Struthio camelus: one gene and its partners. The protein of the gene in region 2 interacts with the protein of the main gene of each other region in a pairwise test. Links are inferred from orthologs where the notes say so. Each region holds a gene or a part of one and is shown on either strand. Other genes may lie near its edges.

Evidence for each region.
Region 1: the proteins of CCDC33 (region 2) and PPP2R3C interact in a two-hybrid assay, tested with the Homo sapiens proteins (2 studies listed by BioGRID and IntAct). The two-hybrid records come from large-scale screens. The link is inferred for Struthio camelus from reciprocal best matches to the Homo sapiens genes CCDC33 and PPP2R3C.
Region 3: the proteins of CCDC33 (region 2) and FAM124A interact in a two-hybrid assay, tested with the Homo sapiens proteins (2 studies listed by BioGRID and IntAct). The two-hybrid records come from large-scale screens. The link is inferred for Struthio camelus from reciprocal best matches to the Homo sapiens genes CCDC33 and FAM124A.

The regions. Positions count from the first base shown.
Region 1 is NC_090946.1:55,310,402-55,317,234, reverse strand, and holds the start of PPP2R3C (serine/threonine-protein phosphatase 2A regulatory subunit B'' subunit gamma), read left to right. Parts: upstream 1-3,817; 5' UTR 3,818-3,964; coding exon 3,965-4,013; intron 4,014-4,224; exon of another isoform or gene 4,225-4,915; intron 4,916-5,171; coding exon 5,172-5,299; intron 5,300-6,457; coding exon 6,458-6,562; intron 6,563-6,833. Other genes in the region: PRORP (mitochondrial ribonuclease P catalytic subunit), read right to left, coding at 1,438-2,435. UniProt on the Homo sapiens protein: May regulate MCM3AP phosphorylation through phosphatase recruitment. May act as a negative regulator of ABCB1 expression and function through the dephosphorylation of ABCB1 by TFPI2/PPP2R3C complex.
Region 2 is NC_090953.1:23,678,158-23,685,015, forward strand, and holds the start of CCDC33 (coiled-coil domain-containing protein 33), read right to left. Parts: upstream 3,020-6,858; 5' UTR 2,626-3,019; coding exon 2,295-2,625; intron 1-2,294.
Region 3 is NC_090942.1:193,536,778-193,544,253, reverse strand, and holds the start of FAM124A (protein FAM124A), read right to left. Parts: upstream 3,017-7,476; 5' UTR 2,909-3,016; coding exon 2,850-2,908; intron 631-2,849; exon of another isoform or gene 619-630; intron 1-618.

The DNA of each region.
Region 1 (6,833 bases), on a different chromosome or scaffold from region 2:
CTGGCGGAAACATTCATTTTTGCCCACAAAACTAAAACAGAATATGTCATATCCATGACAACATTAAACTGCAGACATCTCTCCCTCTGTTGAATGTTTATAATGGTAGGCTGTACAATCACATGTGCCATGGACTTTGGAATAACCACCCCACTTCTCCACTCCTTTCCTGGTTCTCCTGCTGACACGTAGAGGTTCTTTAGGTCTTTTACAAAGACAACAGCAGCAGGAAATTCTGTGCCTCTTTCTCACACACTAGTTTGTCTAGCTTCAGCTTCCAGTACTCTTTTGTCATCATATACTGGTAACACATAGCTCTTAGACAACATACAGACTGGCCCTGCAGTCATCTCCCCAAGTCCTCTTACTAGGCTGAGTTTCCTGCAAATGCACTATAGAGCATACACCCACAGGTAAGTTCTACTCTCTGAGAAAACAGCAGCCCAACACAGATTTTTCATCCACTCAAACAGTTCAGCTTGACTGAAGCTTAGTCTGTCTGTCTGTTCCCTACCTGTTCCCAAGAAAGCAAGCAGGTAGGGCAGGGCAGTATATACTGTTCTAATAACTGCAGCGCGTTCCCACAGCTGTATTTTCTCACCAAGAGCTAACCTGTAAGATAGCTGTGCAGCCCACACAAACTAAACCAAAAATAGAGAGTAATGCGTGTGCAGAAAGCTCCAGTGAACTACACACTGGGCATACACAGCACAATCAGAGGCATTTGCAGAGTCTGACCACCACTGTTCATGAAAACAAACTGTGGCCTGCCAAACACTGTGCTAAAACAAAGAGTTTTCTAACCAGATTTAACCTCTCTCATTATTTTTATGTGAGGACAACACTTAGTCTTCACTTTACCTAAGCTAAACTGATGACGTTCCTAATATTTTTTACTACATTTCAGCAACCCATGCTGGAATATTGTATTCAGGTCTAGTATTGAGAATATATGAAGAACGCTGATAAACTGGAGAGGATTCAGAAGAGAACCAAGAGGGTCTATAACAGAATTTACTGCCTCTTTGCTTTAAAGACAGAAACTTTCTCATTTTCCAAACTTACTACTTCTCTATGCTAGTGGATTATAGGGGAAAAACCAAAAACAAAACAACCCTCATATCTGTCAGTATTCCTTATGTATCAACCTCAATGAGAGGAGATAAAAATCAAGAGATTTTGGGCCACCATGACCCACCAAAGTTTCCTACTTTTTGTACCAAGAACGGATATTTAAAAGGTAAAAACTCTTATGAAGAGGTATCAATCAAAATTGTACATTTGGAGCAGAAATGAAATGCGGCTTTTCATGGCAGTATGCTTCTCAAGGAGCAACACCATAAAATAAGAAGCTGGGGGATTTTATTAGTCTTAATCTGTGGAATAACCTGAATCCTATCCTCATGAACTGCAGCTTGCTTTTGAAACATCATTTACCTTTCAAACCACAGCTTTATACTCCGCATAAATGTTCTGTGAGGGTATATTTGGTTCTCTCTCAAATACAAGAGGATACCAAACAGCTCTTTTTGTAACTCAGCATCTTTCATACCCCTGCTGAAGTCAAAAAAGGCCTGCAGGACATCCAGGGTTGGCACCAAATCCTTAGCCAGCATCTCATGGTAAAGTTCACATGCCAGGTTCATTTCTTGGTGACGGCTGGCCGCTTTGATACAGGATTCATAGTTTGTTCTTGAGGGAGTCATAACTTTTCTTACTTCTTCCAGAAGAGTCAAGGCCATTCTCCATTGATCTGAATTACTCAGCCCCCTGATAAGAAGGTTGTAAGCCCCACTTTCTAATATCTTAAATCTGATTTTCATTATATCATACACATCACAAATCTCTGCCGTCTTCCCTTGCTGGACACATAACGCCAGGTACTTGACCAACAAATTATACCTAATGTCACCATCAGTCTTCGCCACATAAGTCAGCAAGGACTTGGCCACATCTATGGGGCTGTTGCACCTGACCATACTGTTAAACATCACATCTTCAAATATTTCAGGTGATCGAAAGTTTTCCCTCAGCCTACTCCATTCTTCGGCCTGCAAAGGCTTTTCTGGAGGCTGGACCTCGACAAATTTATGCCTTGACAGAACATGACTCACTAATCGTTTCTTCGGAGCTCCAGAGGAATAAAAGTGAAGTTTTCCTTCAGATATTTTTTTACTCTCCTCATCCCATGCTGTTTCTCCTTCATACTGAATCTCAGACCTTTTCTTAGTAGGAAAAGCCTCAGTTCCTTTGGAATCCACTGGCAATGCAGTGCTGGAAGATGTCATAAAACTGAAATAGCTAACCTTTTCCCTGTTGGCGATATTGAAAGAGACAGCAAACAGCTGCTGGCATCTTGAAAGAGGCCACAATACACGACATTTCCCTAGCAAAGCCTGCATACCCTGTTGGCTAGTTTGAGGAAAGCGTGCCATTATAAGAAGAAACTATGTCACTACTAGCTCACTATATCTAAAGAAAAAGGAAAAACACAATTCACATAGGAAGGCTTATTATAAAAGTCTTAAGGCTATCAAGCTGTATACATTACACTCTTTCTTCAAAACGCTTATCCTGTGATTCTTTCAACCCTGTTAGGAAAACAAAAAATGGTAAAATCTTTTTTCACAAAAATGGATGTCTTAAACTAGGAGAACATGCTTCCGAAATTAGGGCATCTTTCTTCCTAGACAAGTTGCTTTGCAGGTTTGCAGCTTATTGCTTCTGTTTGTCGGATGCTGTTAAGTAATACAGCTGCTGTACAGAAATGGGCAACACTGATGCAGCTATCCAAGAAATATAGGGCTTTTTTCCTGTCTTCATCCAAGTCAAGTCAGATTTCCTAAAAATAAACAAAATAAAGAATACCACTACAAAGAATAACATCATAACATGCTTCACGCTTAGTATAAGTCTTTGCTGCGACATTTACAGCTACACGCTAGCCAACGCAAAAGCCATGTTTATCGAGACAATTTTAGGTTAGGAATCCAAGTGCTGGTAACAGACTCCCAACACGGGAATCCTGCATTAGTTCCCTCACGCCTTTTAACCCATGACAAACTTCAGCTCAGCTGGTGCCCCCCGTTACACACTGTGGGTAACATCGCTGCCACGGCGGGAGGGCAGCACCGCCTGCGGTAGCCGCAAGCGCACGCCCCAGGCGGACGCTGCCTCGGGAAGGCTCAGGACGGTGCGCGGCCACGGCGGCAGCGCCCGACGCCGCCCCCGCTCGAGCCAGGCCCCGGGCACAGCGAACACGGAGGCCCCCGCTCGGCGCCGGCACCCACCGGGGGGCCCGCGCCAGCACAGGGCGAGGGCGAGGGCACGGGCGCGGGCAGGCTCCCCTTCCCCTAGGAACTAAAGCTCCCGGCGTGCAGCGCGCCCGCCGCCGGGCCGCGCGTTGCATGCTGGGAGACGCAGCTCCTCCTGCTTCCTCTTCCCTCCCCCCCACCCCGGGCCCCGCATCAAGGCAAAAAGCGCTGTCCCCGACTGGGCTGCGCCGTCACCTCTCCGCGGACGGACCCACCTCGAACAGTGCGCGGCAGCCATGGGTACCTCGGCACTACAACATCCCAGCAGGGTGGGGCTTAAGGTGGCGGCAGCCATGCGACTGACAGGGCACTAACCGCCACCCAGACCGGAACTGCTTCCCGAGCACGGGTGCGTTGGACTTTGAGCCAATCAGAGATTAATGGGTGGGGCGTGTTGGGCCACACGTGATCCCACATACCCAATCAGAGAAGGGCACAGCACGCTACCCGGTAGCGGGTTGTACTGCCATATCAGTTATGGGCACAATGCTTCGGGAGGGGGTGGGGGTTACGCGGGCACAGTCATGCAATGCGCATGCGCCGAGGACTGGCAGGCTGGGTCACAGGTCTTGCCCTCTTGCGGGGTCGTGCCGGTCACGTGGCCCCGGCGCGAGTAGCCCGGATGTGCGGGGCCGGCGGCCGCGGCGGACATGGACTGGAAGCGGAGCCTGAGGGGTCGCCTGGCCGCCCGCAGCGCCCGTGAGTGTCGCGGGCCCGGGCAGCAGGGAGCCGGGCCGGCCCGGGCGGGGGCAGCGCCTGGCGCCGCGGCAGGCACGGGCCCCGGCCCAGTCTCTCCTTCACGGCGCGGAGCTCCGCCCCTCCCTGCCCGTCGCTCCTCGCCGCGCCTTAACGGCCGCCGCGGGGCGTTGGAGCCGCCAGCGGCCGCTGGGGGGCGGCGGCGGGGCGGGGAGAGGAGGGGGCGCTCCCGCCGGCGTCCGCCGCCCGCGGGCTCCGTCCCCCTGGCGGCAAGCCCGCGATGCGCTGTCGACCAGCCGCGCGGGGGGCTTTGGCGTCGCCTGGGAGCGTGCTTAAAGGCGAGGGGCTTGTCGGCGAGCCCCGCTCGGCGCCCCCCGCGGGGGTGCCCTGGGAGCTGCGCGCCGCCGCCCCGCACGGCGGGACAGGCGCGGGCGAGTCCTTCGCTGATGCAAGCCTTAAGCCTTGGCCGGTCGTTTTAGTTCAGCGAGCGTCGAATGTCGCGTTGATGAGAAGACAAAGCAGCTTTGACTCACTTTGTAGAGAAACAAATATGAGCCTCTGTTCTAGAGGTTAGCGTTAACAAGGCTCCAGGCTGAGGAGCACGGCAGAGCTTGTGTAGCCGTGTAGAAATGGGTCTTGCGAAGGCTGGTTTATCTCTAGTACATACCTGTTATGTCTTTGGCTGGTAACTCTTGATTCTTAAATGAATGCACGAAGAACTCTCCTAAGATTAAGAGCATGGTCATATGCCTGCAAGACTGAAAGGTGATATGCTGTTACTGCTTGTAGTAAGCAGTCTTAAAAATGATTAAAAAAAAAAAAAGCACCTTTGAAAAGCAAGACTGTTGCTGCTTTGTCAGTCATAACCACCTTTGTGTCCTTACCACATAACCATATCGTATCAGGTATGTGCAGTTACTAGAAAATGTACTTTGCCGATATTTGAGTAGAACAGATGTATAACATGTTCAGTGTACATGTTTAATTTATGTGATAGGCATGTGCTTCATTTACTTTCATCTGAGTTCCTCATAATAACTGTGTTATTAAACAGCATGGTTGTAGAAAACTCAAGGTCAATTCCTTTTTTCAAGCTCTTAGTTACATTGAAATGCTGTATATTTGGAGTACAGTATGAAAATTCTCTTTTGTATTAATCAGCCAAAAAGAGTGAGCAAGAGCTGAAGGATGAAGAAATGGAATTGTTCACAAAATACTACATGGAATGGAAAGGAGGAAGAAAAAGTGGCAATACATCATATACGAACATACCACGGTTTTACTACAGGGTAAGTGAGGTATCCGGTTAATACTTAAACCAGAGACTACTCTGCGTTATAAAGGGAAATTATGCATATTCAAAGGGGTCTTTCAGCCCCAGTATCTTAAGTAGATCCAGATCTGGAAAAATGTGGGTTATTAAGCCTACAGTGTGGGTTGCTAAACCACAGTCTGCAGTTGTGGATTTCAGCAATTTAAAATAATTAATTGCTAAGCATCCTATAAAAGGCCATGAAATAGCTTGCTAATGCTACTATTAACAGGAAGTAGGCTTGGCTGTTGAATAAAATGATAAAGTCCTCGTTCAGAGAAATTTGCTTCTTGTTTTACCTAATTTTTGATATACCAGTGTTATAAAATACACATCCTCCTATTCCTGCTTAGGCACAGTGGTATTCATGAAGAGAGTATGTTGTTGATCTGGCAGACTAAAGACAGAGCTGCTGCTTGCATCATCCAGCAGAAATGGAACAAGAGCACAAGTCTGACATTTTGGTATTGTTACCATTTGTCAACACAACTGCTCAACTACTGTGTAACCTCTGTGTAAGGATATTCCTTAGGAACGTGAAATTCTCAAATGCCTTTGTTTCAGTTGCTGAATATGCATGCAACCATTCAAATTCTGGTAGTGCTGTGCAGCTTCTCGTGTAAACATCAGCAGAACTTTCATAGTAGGCATCCTCCCATCCATCCTGCTTGCCAACTCTCATTGTTCTCGTCTGGTAGACGATCTTGTCTAGTAGGTGGTCTCATCTTTGAGATTCAGGGCTACCATGAAATAGAAGGCACTCCTCTCTCTTCTGACTAATAGCACAGTACTAAAGTCTTCTATGTGGGAGCCCTCCTGTCGGGCAGCTGTGGAAAAGAGCTTACTAGGTGGGTTATCAGGTGTGCGGTAGGTCTTTTTCAGTTTCTCATGTCAAAGATGTCCTGCTTTAAATATCTCTTTCAATATTAAAATAATCTGAGACAGCATGCAAGTGATATTTCTCTATCCAGAAGAAGCAGATACCACACAGCATTCTGGTAGATATTTCAATATTTTCTGTGGAGTGGAACAGCATCAGAAGATTTGAGTCAGGTCTAATTAAGAATACTTGCTAGCTCTCTAGTTTTTGAATACTACTTCTGTACAGAAAACTCAAATGCCACAATGTTTCTAGCTGCCAGCTGAAGATGAAGTCTTGCTTCAGAAATTAAGAGAAGAATCTAGAGCAGTCTTTCTGCAAAGAAAAAGTAGAGAACTGTTGGATAATGAAGAGCTTCAGGTAAGGAAATATTTTCTGTATGTTTTGAATGGCTTTTGACAGAATTCCTCTGTCTACAGAGTTTTATCCTCTTCTGTCCGTCCGCAGAATCTTCTGGTGCAGTTTGTAAGGTGCTTTGTACCTGGGCGAGTTGGCTTGTTGTGAAGTACTGGCCAAAGCCTAAGTGCTGCGTAGTCTTAAGCTGGTAACCAAAGTGTAAGACTTGGATGTTATGGTGTACATGAGATCTAAATCAATGGCTTCTAGTCTTCCAGTGTATTCCAACAATTTC
Region 2 (6,858 bases):
GCAGGTCTAGCTGCGTTTCTAGCTCTGCTTGCAGCAAAGATGCCTCCACCCTGCTGCACGGCAGACCCTGTGGAGGTTTCCCATAGGGGACAATGGAGTGGTTTTACACTCCTCCCACAATGGATTTTGTGACATTTCCAATGTCCTTGGGCACAAATGCCCATGCACGACTGTCCCACCAAAAAGAGAGGCCCCTGCCAACTATGTGGTGGAGACCGAGGTCAGCAGCAACTTTGGGCAGGCAGCCAAAGGCCTGGCGAGAGGCCATGATGCACCTTTCTGCAAGGAGCATGGGACAACAGACAGCTAGCACAGAGGATCAGCATTTGACCCATCTGCAGATCAGCAACAGCTACTCTTGAAGGCTAGCACTACCCATCCAGCTTGCGTTCGGGCTGGCTCAGCTCTCTTGGCCCGTGGCTGGGATGGTCCCGGGCTGCTTCACTGGGAAAGGTTAACCCCAGGGCCCCACCAGCACATCCACCACTCTCTTCTCCTTCAGAGCCATCATGTTCGCTGCTCAGAGGCCCACCTTTGAACTGCAACATGCTACTCTCCTTAAAAAGCCAGCGCCCCGCAAAATAATAAGCGATTCCCTTCTGCCTTGACGCCCTCACTATGGTTACTAAAAGGCCCATCATGTGTCCTGCATCCTTAATGCCAGTGGGGCTGGAGGGCCCCGTCCCCTCCTCTCCATCGCTCCCGCCCGCGATCTCCCGTTCCCGTGGCAACCCGCTGATGGAGAGGCATCAGGATGCAGAGAAAGACGCAACAATCACACGCCACCCTCGTGCTATCGTTTAGGATATTGATGTTTAAATCTCCTGAGATTAGCCGGGTATAATTGCTTTATGGAAATGGAGACAACTCCTGTGGTGGAGCTATGTGGGCTGTCGGGGGCGAGAGCAGGCCCTCGGTTCGTGCTTCGGCGGGCAGAAAAGCGGCGAAGGGGCATCGGAAGGGCATGAGCTCAGCTACCGCCTCCGCGGGCAACGGGTGCCGTTGGCAGGGCCATGCTGGAGATGGGCAGCGGAGCAGAGTTTTCCATCCAAGTGGATGGACATGCGGTGCATAGATACTCCCAGCCAGGCACGTGTCCCACCAGCCCACTGCAGCTCTCCTGGTCATTCCCACATCTCCGGAGCAGCGCGCGTCCCCGTTGGGGATCCCTCAGGTCCAGGCTGGAGCAGAGGAGGACCTCAGCAAGGGGAGGCTAGACCCGCTCTCCAAGGCGCAAAGGGACAAGCCTTTGCTCGATGGGCTGAGACCACCAGTGGTTTGGCAGCTGCGAGCCCACCGCACGCCTCGTCCCCGTAAGCGACGGCATCCCCTCTCCCACGAGAGCCAAGGCAGACGCGTGGGCCCGCCAAACCCTCCATCCCACGCGCCAGCCAGCTCCTGGCGGCCTGCAGATGCCAGTCAGCAACAGCTGAGGAAAGCCCGTCGCTCGGCAAGCAGCATCTGCCGCTTTCCCCGATCCAGACAGCCACGTTGAACTGCGAGCAACCGCACTAAAAACCGGCATCCAGCCGCCTGCCCCACAGGTTGGGGTTTCTAGCATGGAAGATGCCCAGCAAGCAACAGTTTGCTTTGCACGCTCGCAGAGTGCTGCAGATGGGTTTTGAGGAGGCATCAGGCCAGCTGACATCACCTTGGTCCTTCCCCAGGCGATGGGCCGGGGCTCTGGCCCGCTTGCCTCTCGCCAGCCACCCGTGCGCCTGCCTGGCTCCTGGCTGCGCAGCTCCGAGCAGCCCGAGGGAGGGGGACGCATTCGGCAACGCGGTGGCAAAACCAGCTGCGCAGAGCCAGGCGTCGAGAGCTACGCGCCCCCTCCTCGCCAGGCGGTGCCGAATTTGCTCTGCCCCCTGGCAGGGCTGTGGGATCCCACCTAGGCACCAGCGCTAGCAAAGAGCGTCCTCCCTCTTAGCACAGACCAAAGCACGGCCGGCTAATTGAGTCCCCTGGCACATGCATAATGCACGAGGAGCCAACTTCTCCTTACCCCAGCATCCTGTTTTATTTATTAAAACGCTCTTTTATTTATTATGAGATCATCTCCAGACCCAGGCAGCGTTACCCTGTGGATCCTTTGACATCACTTTATACTTTCAATATTACCAATTCTTTCTTCCCAGCGCTCCGGTAATGCAAAGCGTCCCGTCCTCTGGGCTCCCCGGTGCTGTTTTAGACCTCGCATCCCATTGGCGAGGGGTCTCGGCTCCTCTGCCCGCACCGAGGTCCTATCCCAGCCCGAGACGCTCCCATCTCCCGTCCCTCCGCGAGCGGGTACTCACACGATGACGTAGGGCCGCGGCGCCCGGCCCTCCCGAGTGGCCGGCAGGTTGCTGGCGCCGTGCAGGGTGACGGTGACGGCCTCCATCCCCTCGCGGGCCACGTGCCGCTGGCCAGCCTCCGGCACGCGGGCCACCTCCTGCTCCCCGGCGGGGGACTCCGGGACCTGCTGGGAGCGAGCGGAAGAGACGTCGGGGCCGGCGGCACGGCCGGCTGCTCCGGGCTTCTCCGGCCAGGCCCCACGGAGAGCGGATTTGCTGGCGATTCGGGCCCTTCCCGCTCCTGCCGGTCCACCCGGACCCCTCTGCCCCCCCTTCTAGCTGCACCGGGCATTTTTGCAATTTAAGGACTCTGCAGGAATTGGGATCGCAGCCTAACGCCGGGCAAACGGAGGAGATGCACGGCTCCCCCCAGCTCCCGCTCATTAATTCGCACCAGCTGATGTGATAAGACACAGCAGAGCTGCAAGCTGCTGTTTTTCATCCATGGAAGCGGGGGGGGACAGGACCGTGCCCGAGTTAGTCACAGCCCGCGCGAGCCAGCACGTTTCTCCTCCCAGCTGCTCCGGTTTAGCCCCGCACCCACGCCTGCACCGTGCCCCCTGCCAGGGCGGCGCGCACCGACGGCATCAAACGCAACAGGCTCAGCGGCCGCCGGGGCGCCGCTAGCAGCCAGCGGGCTGGCGCCGGCCACAAGCGACACGAGCGCGGGCGTCCTCAGCTCAGCCCTATGGCGGCCGCATCTCGAAGGCGGGCGCCTCCGCTGGCAGATGGAGCCGCGACGAGGAGCAGCAGGCTGGGCTCTTCCGGACGCTGCTGTCAGCACCACGCTGGGGCGAGCCAGCCCCTCCGCTCGCCCCTCCTCACTCACACGGCAGCTGGGGCGGGAGGAAGGGAACAAACAAATTCCCAAACCAGAGGGGCCTTGGAGCTGTTACAAATCCTCATTGCAAGAGGGGATTTTTCCCAGCCCGTTTGCACCAGACACAAAACACCCCCGGGTGAGAAACCCCCAGGAGCCCGTGCCACCCGGCTCACCTCTGCCGCACAGGTGCTCACACCGGGCTACGGCCCGCTCCCCCCGAGACCTCCCCGGAGCACAGAGGGACGCCGGGCTCTGCCGCCGCAGCCCTGGCCAGCAGCTCCGGCCCCGACGGCCCCCAGCACCCCGGCTGGACGCGGGGATGCTCCCCGGCATCCGCCAGCAGCGCAGCCAGATGAGGTGCTAATGAAAACCTGACCGAAGCTGCCTTCATTTGCAAGTCGAGGAGGCGCAAGGATTTTCCGTCAGCCTCCCCCCGCCGCGCCGAAAGCGGGGACAATAACCTGGGGGAGGACGGCTTCCCAGCAAGGCCGGCCAGAGGCTCAGCCAGCACCCGCGCAGGCGCAGGACTCCAAGCTCACGTCTCCCGCAGCTGGTTGAGCCTCCCAAGGTGGCTCCTAAACCCAACAGGATAAACGTGCCTGCCCGCACCAAGCCGGGGCCGAGCGAAGAGCTGCTCCTCACCCCGCAGGCGTCGGGCTGGCTGCAGACCCCGCGGTTCGCTGGCACTGCTCGCTCTTCCCGCTCCGACATCCGGCCAGCGGCTGGGCCGCAGCCACGGTTCTCGTCTGCAGGCCACCAAAGAGGCAGAGCAGGTCCCTGGGGCGCGGGGAAACTGCTGCTGAGCGTGAAAATCACCAAACCTACAGTGCCAACCGCACGGTAGCGGGCCAGAATTTGTGAGCAGCCCTCCGACAGGCTACAAAACGCAGCAAGGAGAGCCCTGAGCGACCCTCCGGCCACAGCACAGAGCCGCGGCACTTCTGGGCACGACCCCAACCGCGCAGGGGAAGAGCCAGCAGGCGCCGAAGCCCCCCACGCCACGCTCCCCGTGCCCCGCACTGCGCCCACCGGGCTCCGCGCGGCATCATCCGCCCAGCCCAGAGCTCAAATCACTGCAGCTGACTTGCCACAAGCCACTCGGACAGGTCGGGCTTGCCACGCGCCTCACCTCCGCTCGCGTGCCCTCCAAAGCCAGGGAGCGGGTTTTATTAAACCGCTCCCATCTCCCAAGGGGTTAACACCCGGTCAACACCGCAGCGGGTTTCAAACCGTTCGGAGCAAACCCGCTGCCCGTCCTTCCCACCGCAAGGGGTTAAAGCCGCTTCGCCCGCCTAGCACCTACCCCCTTCCTCGCCCCCCAGGGCTTTTCAAAACCCTTGCTGCAAATCCCCTCCGACATGTGTCTTTGGCTCCAAACTCTTTAATGAGGGGCTTGTTCGTCCTAAGCCCTCTCCTTTGTCTCCCCGCCGGCCGTCTCACTCCAGCGGAGACGGAGACGCTGGGACGGGGCTGGCAGGCGGCGAGGTGAGCGCAGGGTGAGGCGCCCAACCAACGCGTGCCGATTACGGGATTGCCACCCAGCCACGGGGTGCTGGCCGCCCCGGGGATAAACATCGCGCAAAGGGCAACCATGCTGAAGAGCTTGCTAGTCTCCTTGCTGAGGAGCAAGCAGGAGAAGGCGGGGAGAACGAGCATAGGAGGTGCGTGTGGTTTTGGAGAGAGAGGAAAAAAATAGAGAGACTGAAAATAAATGAAAATAAATGCATTTCTTCCCATCCAGAAAGGAAAAATTCAGGTAGCTGCCCAATGCGAGGCCCTGGGCTAAGGCCCAGGCAAACACATCGCAGCCCTTCCTGGAGACGCTGGAGAGTTTATGCACAAGCCCCGTTCTGCAGGTGGGGAAACCGAGGCACAGAGCAAGCAGCGGCTTTAACCGCGGTCCGCTGCGGAGCGCGGGGATTTGTTCTGACCCTGGCACAGCCTTCATCTCAGCTTTGGCTCGTTTGCTTGGGTTTTCTGCATCTTAGCAATATTAATTTATGGGTTTCCCCCTCCAGCTCCTCGCGCACGTGCTCGTTTCCGATTGATGCGTTCACAGCGCCCTTGGCTAAAACAGGCGCCGCTTCGGCCGCGAGAGGCAGGCCAGCGAGGAGGGTGCGCAGGGCCTCCGCGACAATGAAAGCGGCACCGTGGGAGAAGAGATGCTCAGAGGGGAAGCGGGGGCAGATGCAAAGTCACGCGATTCCCCCGACGGCGGGATGCAGCTCCCAGCAAGGTGCATAGCTTGGATAAACCTCACTTTCCCCTAAATCACCCCTGCCCAGGTGACAGGTCTGCAAGCAAGAAGGCATCTCCGCGGTCACGCTGAGGGCAGCAGAGCTGATCTCCGGAGCAGAGATCATCTTCCCCCTCCCCGCCGCTATTTTCCAGTCTTGCTCACCAAACCCTCGAGGACACGGGGTTGGCTTGTCCGTGCTCATCGCTGCCCCAGACCTCAGCTCCCTGACCCCTTCCTGAGGTGCTTCCTAAATACATCTCCGGAAGGAAGGGAAGAGGAGGTTGGGAGAGTATAAATATTAGCACAAAAAAAAGAAAAGCACGATTTCCCCCCCCCCCAACCCCTGTCACAACATCTGCACACAGGGAAAACTGCAGGATGGAGCAGCAGGAGGAGCAGGGAAGCTCTCGCTGGGGAACGCGGACTCCTTCCGAGGAAGCATCTGCTCAGGCTTCGGCTCTCCGCGTCCCCGCAGCAGGACACGGACGTTTCGCCAAGACCCGGGCGGCCCCGCTACAGCGGGCGGCAGGACGCGGCTCCTGACGTGGGACGAGGACGGGCGCCCACGAGGAAGGGCTGCGGCGGCAGGAGAGGGGAAGGCTGGGGGAACGCGGACCAACCTCAGCGCGCCCGCAAGCCTGGAGGAGGTACGTTAGCATCTACCCCGCTGCAGCTTCCGAAACGAGCACGAGACCTTCCTTTTTTCCCCCCGCTCTGTTGAAAACGCGGCGCAGTTGCTCTCTAGAGAGCCCCCAGCCGCTCAATAAAAGCCAAAAATCCAGAGAAAATCCAGCCGGCTGGACCAACGCAGCCAGCGAGACACGAGAAGACCTTCAGGCCTCGTTCTTGATGAGGAAGGAGACCTCAGAGCTCCCTGACGGGGCCCACGAGAGGCTGCGCAGGAAGCAGCTCAGCACCTGCAGCAACGAGGCCGGGACGAGCGGCCTCGGGGAGGACCAAGCGGAGGAGAAGCCCACGGCCCCAGGCCTCTCGTGCCCCCTCTTCTCCACGCTAGCTCAGCTTGCCAGGGAAGGCACCCAGGGACACAACTGGCTTGCATTAAGCATCGTTTCTGAGGAGCATTTGGGAGACACGCTGACCCAGCTTAGTTTATCAATTAGGCTGTGCTGGCTCTAGCCAGTGAGCAAGACAAAGCCCCCCAGCACCGAGGGCGGCTTAGCTCATGGGTACGCTGGATCGGTACCCCATATTTACCTAGCTCAGTTTCCGTGTTTCTGCTCATTTTTCCCCGTTTTCCCGGCTTTCTTTCACAATCCACGTAAATCCCGCACCGCTTTCTTGGTCTTTGCAGCCGTCGCTCGCGTTCACGCACCCCTGAAAAACCATAGGCACTTTCCTGCTGGCAGCGCAGCTGCGGCACGATAGTTAGCAGGGGTTTTAATAGAAAATTCACAAGCAGTTAAGCTAAGCAGAACTCGGCACGAGAACAAAACACGTTAAAA
Region 3 (7,476 bases), on a different chromosome or scaffold from region 2:
AGCCATAGCAAAACGTGAAGAAACATATGCCATCTAGAACATTTAATGTATTAGATTTATTAGTTGCTATAAATGGTTTCAGCACTACAGATTCCATAAGAGCTCACACATCCTCGTATACCATCATCAAGGTGACAATGGCTTGCAGCGCCTGGATTTACTCTACAGTCACTATACAATACTGTTCTTTGAGTGACAGAAAGAGACCACTTGATGTGAAACTGTTACTGAATTACTTTGACAGTTGTCTCTCCTAATACATAGGACATTCATAGGATGATGGCTGAACTTAAAAACCTTTTTTTTTTTTTTTAATATTTGAGTAATTGGAGAACAAGGACAGTTCAATTTGGCAATAGCTATTATAGGACTTAGATAAAGTAAAAGGCAGATCTTCACTAAGAAGAAAAGGCAAGCACTGTGAACAGTTGGCTTGGTGAGAAAACTGAAATATAAACATTGTGAAAGGGACATACGTGTCATGTTTATCAGACTAAATGAACTAGATGAACTAAAAATAGCTGCTAAATAGAACAAAAAATAAAACTGAAATGCAGAGGTCTGTTTTTTTCCCCCCCAAAATAAAATTCAGGGAAAGGAACTGCACTTATTAATTACCATATGCCACGATTAAAATTCCTCCAACAGCCTCTACTGTTAAACTCTGCCTTCCAGTGTCAAGCCTGCAACAAAGATGCTTCATAAAATCATCAGCTTTAACACCTCATCAGCGCCAGACATGAGCAGCTGTCCTGCTGATCACTAAGGTCTAAAGGCTAATGTTATCATCTGGGTCAAATCCTTCCAAGTGCCCCTCCCAACAAAATGCAGGTTTTTCTATTCTGGATAAGCTCAACAAATTAAGAGTGACTTGACCCATCAGGGATTTCTTGAGCTTTCAACTAGCCATGAATTCACCAATTATGCTGTCTTAATCTTATCCACATTCCCCAAAGATGAACTAAAAAACTGTTGTCCCAAGGACTAGGAAGGTGGCCTGCATTTTTTCCTTTATGCTGATGCCACATAAAATATTTTAAAACTTTCACCATACTGCAATACTGCAACAATTTATAGTGAAAGGAAAAGAGTCCACAACTTCTCTGATGACAGAGGAGTTCAAAACCAAAAATTTTGATTTAAATGAATAGTTGGATGTACGAAAAAAGATTGCAATATTCCATTTTCATCCAAAACTTTTAAAAAAAGATTATAATATTGCTACTTTAATTTGGGTACAGTGCCACCACTTCACAATCAAGAATTAGCTTTACAGTTCCTTTATGCTCTCAGTCTCATACTTAAGCACAGTGCCCTGACACAAACAGTAAGCACTTTTATTTACTTGCATCAGTTTGAGATTAGGGTGCTCCCTTTTCTCTGAATCTCAGCATGTGCTTTTACAGCAGCAAGGCAGACAGGGTCAAAGAAAAAACAGGAACGCTGTCCAACCCCGTTTGTGTGTTACACCCTCACACCCATGAGGCGGTCAGACTCAAGACCAAGGGAGAAAGACCAGGCGAGGAGCCAGGAGGAACACGGCTGAGAAAGCTAGGATGGAGGAAAATGAAGACCTAGGAGAGAACAGAGCAAAGCGAACAGGCAACCTCATTTTGTCCCTCTGGATCCAAAGAATGAGCAAGGGCTCACCACCGTTCCTGACAAGACAACACGGCAACAGCATGTAAAATGGGCCGGAAAGAGCCTCCCTCTCTCCACCACAGAGACAGGTTGGAGTTGGGATCTGCAGCAGTCAGAACTGGGGATCCCATGACTCATCCTTGCAGCCCCATGATATTAGGGCAAGTCATCTAACTTTCAAACACACTGTACCTCTGGCAGCTGGGGCACAGAGCCAGATAAAACTCTCCTTGACTCTTGTATGACACAGGTTGAACTGTCACTCTCCATGCCTCTTATACACTTACAGGTTGGACAACTACCAAAAGAGCTTATGGCACTTCACAGGTCAGTATGGTGAGAATCACGAGAGCAGCAACCCAGTTCCGGGGTGCTACCAACCTAACCTGCCTCTGTGGCGCTCCGATGGTCCCTCCAAGGACTCAGCCTGTCTGCCTGATGCTGGCAAGGTTTCTGCCACAAGGGCTGATGGGAGATGGTGACAGGCTAGGACAGGCACCTTCCCAGCCATCCTTAACACGGATTATCAGGGGACACAGAGGGATGGGGCAGAACCAAACCCTGAGCACCACACTCTGGCACCTGCTGATGGCCCATGAAGCACAGCACCAGGCCCCACCGGTGAAGTCGCAGGAGTTGGTTTGGGGCTCACACTTGAAACACAGCACCGTGACACCTTCGCATCTTGGTCCCCACGTGTAAGACGAGGACGATGGGGAGCTCTTCCCTAACTCGACCACAGGAGAGGGCGGACCACCGGGGCCTTTAAAACACGGCAATCCTCCGAGGTAGGAGTGCTCCCTGCTCCCCAGGGGACCGCAGCGGCCGGGAGGGCTCCGCCGCAGCCACCTCGGCGCCCCCCAACCCCACGCTGGCCCGCGGCCTCTCACCTACCCACAGCAAGCGCGGGTGGGTTAAAACATGACAGTTAGCCAGAAAACTACACGCGAGGGGTGCTGCCCGGCAGGCAGGGAGGGAAAAATCCCACTGCTGGCTGCCGCATGCCGGGACACAAAGCCTGCGAGGAAACACCCGCTCCCCGGGGCCGCCGCGGGGCGCGCTCGGCGGAGGGCGCCGACAACAAGTGCAGCGGGCGGGCGGCCGGGCGGGCGGGAGCAGCTGCGGCCGCGGGGCAGGAGCCGCTCCGCCACCGCGGGGAGGTGGAAGGGGGGGGGGTGCGGCCGCCGGTCACCCCGCGACTCACTCACCCGCCCGTCTCGGCTCCCGAGTCCACGCACTCATCCTCGCCGCCGGGCTTCTTGTCCATGGTGGAGGCGTCAGAGCTCCATGGCCGCCGGAGCTGCTCGTCCCGCTGCGCCGTGTGCGGGCGGCGGCGGAGAGAACCGCTCCGCCGCGCGCACGCCCCGCTGAGGGGAGGGGCGGGGCGGGGCGGGGCGGGGCGGGGCAGGGCGGCGGCGCGCGCGCCCCCTCCCCCAGCCGTTAACGGCCGCGCGCGCGCCCCCCCTCTTCAGCCGTTAACGGCCGCGCGGAGCACTGAGGCGGGGGGGGAGGGGGAGGGAGCGCCTGCATCATGGGGCTCGGTGCTCCCCCCACCCCAAAATACCCCAATCTCGCCGGCAAAATACCTCGGGGCACCCTTGTTGCGCTCGCACGTGCTGAGGGATCGTCCTATTCCAGCCCTCACGTGTTAGAAACTCCTCATGCATCATCATGCCTGCGTTAGCAAGCACTGCCGCAGCCTCCTTATATCGCTGCTATTCTTCCAGTAGAGAGAAGGGCTAAGAGGTGTGGTGCCTGTATCTGTTGGAAGTTAAAGGCACCTGTCTCTTTGCTATCCATCTTCTTTTCATTTTTGGGGTAGGTGCTATCCCTGTCTTCTCTTTGAAGTCTTAGGCTGTGCTGAGCTTTCTCTTGCCCCCTGAGTGTCACCTGGCACGCACTCGTTATATTAAATATCATTATTTTGAAATGATGTGCAAAAACGGACAGGGAATGGTTTCCTAGCCCTGTGAGAATTTCTGTAATAATGAAGGAAAAACCACTTTGCTCTGAGGCTTCCAGGGGAGAAATACTGATGTAGCAAGACTTACCACTAGTGGGGCAGTTGCATTCAAAGAGGTTGAACTATAAGCAGGAAATGGGCTCCTGTATTCTGCACATCTCCTGCCCACCAGCCTTGTTTTGTATTTGAACACTTCTCCTTTTCTCAGTCACTCACATTTGGTGTAAATATTCACCAACACAGGGATGTGAACCTAGATCGCACTCAGCCAAAACGTCAGTCATTTGTTAGTCTGTTTGGTTGTTCAGGCCCGAACAGATCATAAGGGAAGGGGGCAGAACTGATTTGTCTCCAACCTGAAACAAATCATGCGTCTCCTGAATCAGGGTCAAGCATAAAGCTAAAAGTCAGTACTCCTGTGCTCCCTGCAATTGAGATGTTATGGGACGACTTAAAAAAAAAAAAAAAGAAGATGATGACTCCACCTTGGAAACTAGGAAACCTTTTCCATTAATGTTGTATGGAAAATTTCACCTTTGAGGAACTGGAATTTTCTCTCAAAAAATCACCAATGACTGCCTAATTTCTGTCAGCTGCAGGAGACAGCCACTTCCAGATCACAAGCAAAAAAAAATTAAAAAATAAGTATTTTGTTCCACCTTTTTTTATTTGTACCTCACAGGGAAGAAGGAAAATGATGAAAATCTCAGTATTTGAAACATAAAATACCAGACTGGACCAGACTGTAGAAATGCACTGTACAAGACAATCTTACATTGTCAAAAGAATTGCTGAGCTAGTTTAGTTGTCTACATAGTCTGACATCGATGTCCTTCATTTGAATACTGTCAGTAGTAGAGTGAGCCATGTGTAGGCATGCGCTAACACAATTTAATAGTAACAACTAACATCGTTTAGCAGGCTCAAGCTGTGTGTACTTCGTGCCACTGATGTCTCTAGTGGTGTATGGCATTGGCTCTCTAAAATAATCTATATGTAGCTAGGAACATTGTAAAATCAAACAGAAAGAGTGACTTGGAAACAACACCAAAGGTCTTTTTAGCACACTGTAGGAGCAATGAACATGCATCAACGCCGGAAATGCTCATAACGAAACTGCTAAGTCGATAAAGCAGTGAATTCCTGTTGTCCCACCACGGAAGGGACACTGAACTCATGTGCAGCCCTGGGACCTGTGGGTATCACAGATCAGTCCACTATGTATCCCCAGTGATATTTAGAAGAAACTTTCTAGTTCCTGTATCTATTCATCAAGTACTGGAAAAAAATCCTAGTGGTGTATGGGGACCTTAGTGTTTAAAATGTTTTGACTATCTGCCTTGATTTGCACACATGTCATTTTAAAAACAATATAGATGATTTTTCAGTTTATGTGGAGGGCTTAACATAAATAATATCCCAATAAAAATAATGCGCTAGGTATGGAAGAAGCCCCCTTAACTGGAGTCCCTCTTCCCTCTTTCCTCTAGCAAGTTACTAAATGCTAGTTTGGGCAAAATGCTATAAAAGGTTCTTGATACACATCAGTTCTATACTGGCATATGTATAATAGTTCCAAAAATACAAAAACAAACTCTTCCATCCTTCCTGACTGGTAGACTATACCATCTAAAGCAATTTCCTTATATGTGCAAAATTAAATGTGTGTAATTTTTTTTAGGGTTGGGACCAAGGCGCTGTGCCAGGCTGTGAGAATAACTGTGGCAGAATCTGGTCCTCAACTTCTTAGTATTGGAATCACCACATTCAGGTAAAAGGCCTTAACATGTTTTCAGACATTGTGTATTAAGTGATTTGCCCAAGGCAACACCATGGCAAAATTGAGACAAGAATTCAGTATATCTCGCTTCCCAGTTCGGGCTCCTGTTCTGAAACAGCTAAAGATTTCCTCTCTAACGACTGTAATGACTATGGAGGACACTGAACGTCCCAAAGGACATATTCAGTATTCTGTAGTACCAGCACTGCACAGACCCTGCTGTCTCTCTGATTCTTAGTCTACACACACAAATTTATTTAATCAGTACAACTCTATTTAAAAGCAGGTCATTCCCACTCACTTTTAAGTGTAATCTCAAAGTCAAATAAATTGAGTTTAGCCACTGTTGATGTGATTTAAGATGTAACCAAACCTTCTTAAATATTTAGAAATAGATTTAGTTAAAATGATACATTTCTGCATGTAAAATTTTAGGTGGTCAGCTAATACATCTTTTCTGTCTCTGACTTTTATTATCCTAGTTAGTTATGTTTAAGCACTGGCATATGAGAGGATCTGGAATAGATTTTATGCTGCATTTAGGATTAATTTACTCCATCTGTCCAAGGGAGGGAAAAAAGAAACATTCTAAAGAAAATATATAATTAAGACAGTAAGTAAAGCTACCACAAACTCTAGACTCTCTTATTTATATATTTGCCTCATTTAACTCAGTTTTATTCTGGTCTTTCACGTAATTATGGTGAAAAGAAGTCTTCTCTGCAATAAATTCTCGGCATTTCAGAGATTCTAATGAATGAGGTGTTATGTCCTTGCTTTTACTTAGCATTTCTCTGTTATCATTTCTTCACATTAGCTCTTCTGTATGGTCTGTTGAAAAAAGAAGTTACGTTTTATTTACTCTCTTGTATTTATGAGTCTGTGATACCAGTTTCAAGGTAAGGATAATAGTGAAAATATTCTTGGGTTAAATTTCCCCAAATTTCAAGCCTTTCATTAAGCAGCATTTAATAGCAGTGGTCACAAAGGCTGTCAGACATAAAAGTATCAGGAGAAATCTTCAAAGAAGCCAAAAAAATAAACCACTCTCTTATCAAAAAGTAATGGAACTAACACTGAGGACATGAAATTAATGCCTGTTCTGCAGAGAGTTCTCTTGCTGTTAGTTGTGTAGGACCAGATCTAAAATATAACTTAACTTAAAGGAGGATGTAAAGAAAATTTAAATGCCTGAGTTCGAATCTGTGATTCCACACTGTGGCTGATTAGGAGATGCCTAACCTTCAAAGGCAACTTACATTTTTAATTTAAAATTTTCAATATCCCTAATGCTATATGTCTAGAATTTACAAGGCTAACCAGTTTACCTCATACCAGAGCTGAGCAGTACCTAATTGCAACCACCAGCTGCTGAGACCTCCATCCTTGCAGAAGCAAATGCAGGCAGTAAAACCTCCTCCCACCTCCCTCACATAATGATCTTAGTCTTTAGTAACTGAGAACACAGTGCGGAAAAGTGATAGCTGCAGCCTTGAAGGGGGATAAAGACATCACGAAGAGCTGCGTGGATGAACCCATGTCAGATCATACGTGTGCTGAAGGATAAGAGGAAGCAAAAGCATCGATTTCCCTGATGAAGCCACACCTGGATTCAAATTTCAATCTCTTTTTCTACTCATGGAGTTCTGTCTACTTGTCTATCATCTTTCCTGCCTCAGCCAGGAGGATAGAGTGCGCATGGAAGAAAGAGTATGAGTCTGGTTCTCTAGCCTAAAGAGAAGTGAAGGAAGAGAGGTGACAGTTCCACTGCCCCATATGAATGTCCTAATGATTAAGGACACTTATGGGATGTTTCTAATCTCTTCCTTATATTTCTTTCTGCACAGTGGCAGAACTTCACTGTAGGGTAGAGAGAGAAGAGAAAATTGTAGTTATCAGGGCAATCTGCTAGGAAAAAAATATTTGATTCAGTTCTTTTCATGTGACATTTTGAGTCTCTTCCGTTCTGTGCAATTCCAAAAGAAAAGGGGGCAGATGCCACTGCAGTTCCTTCTGCATTACACTATAAATTAGTGAGTCTTTCTAGTCTTTGAAAAACAGAACAGAGATCTGGCTTAGCAGATGATTCAGG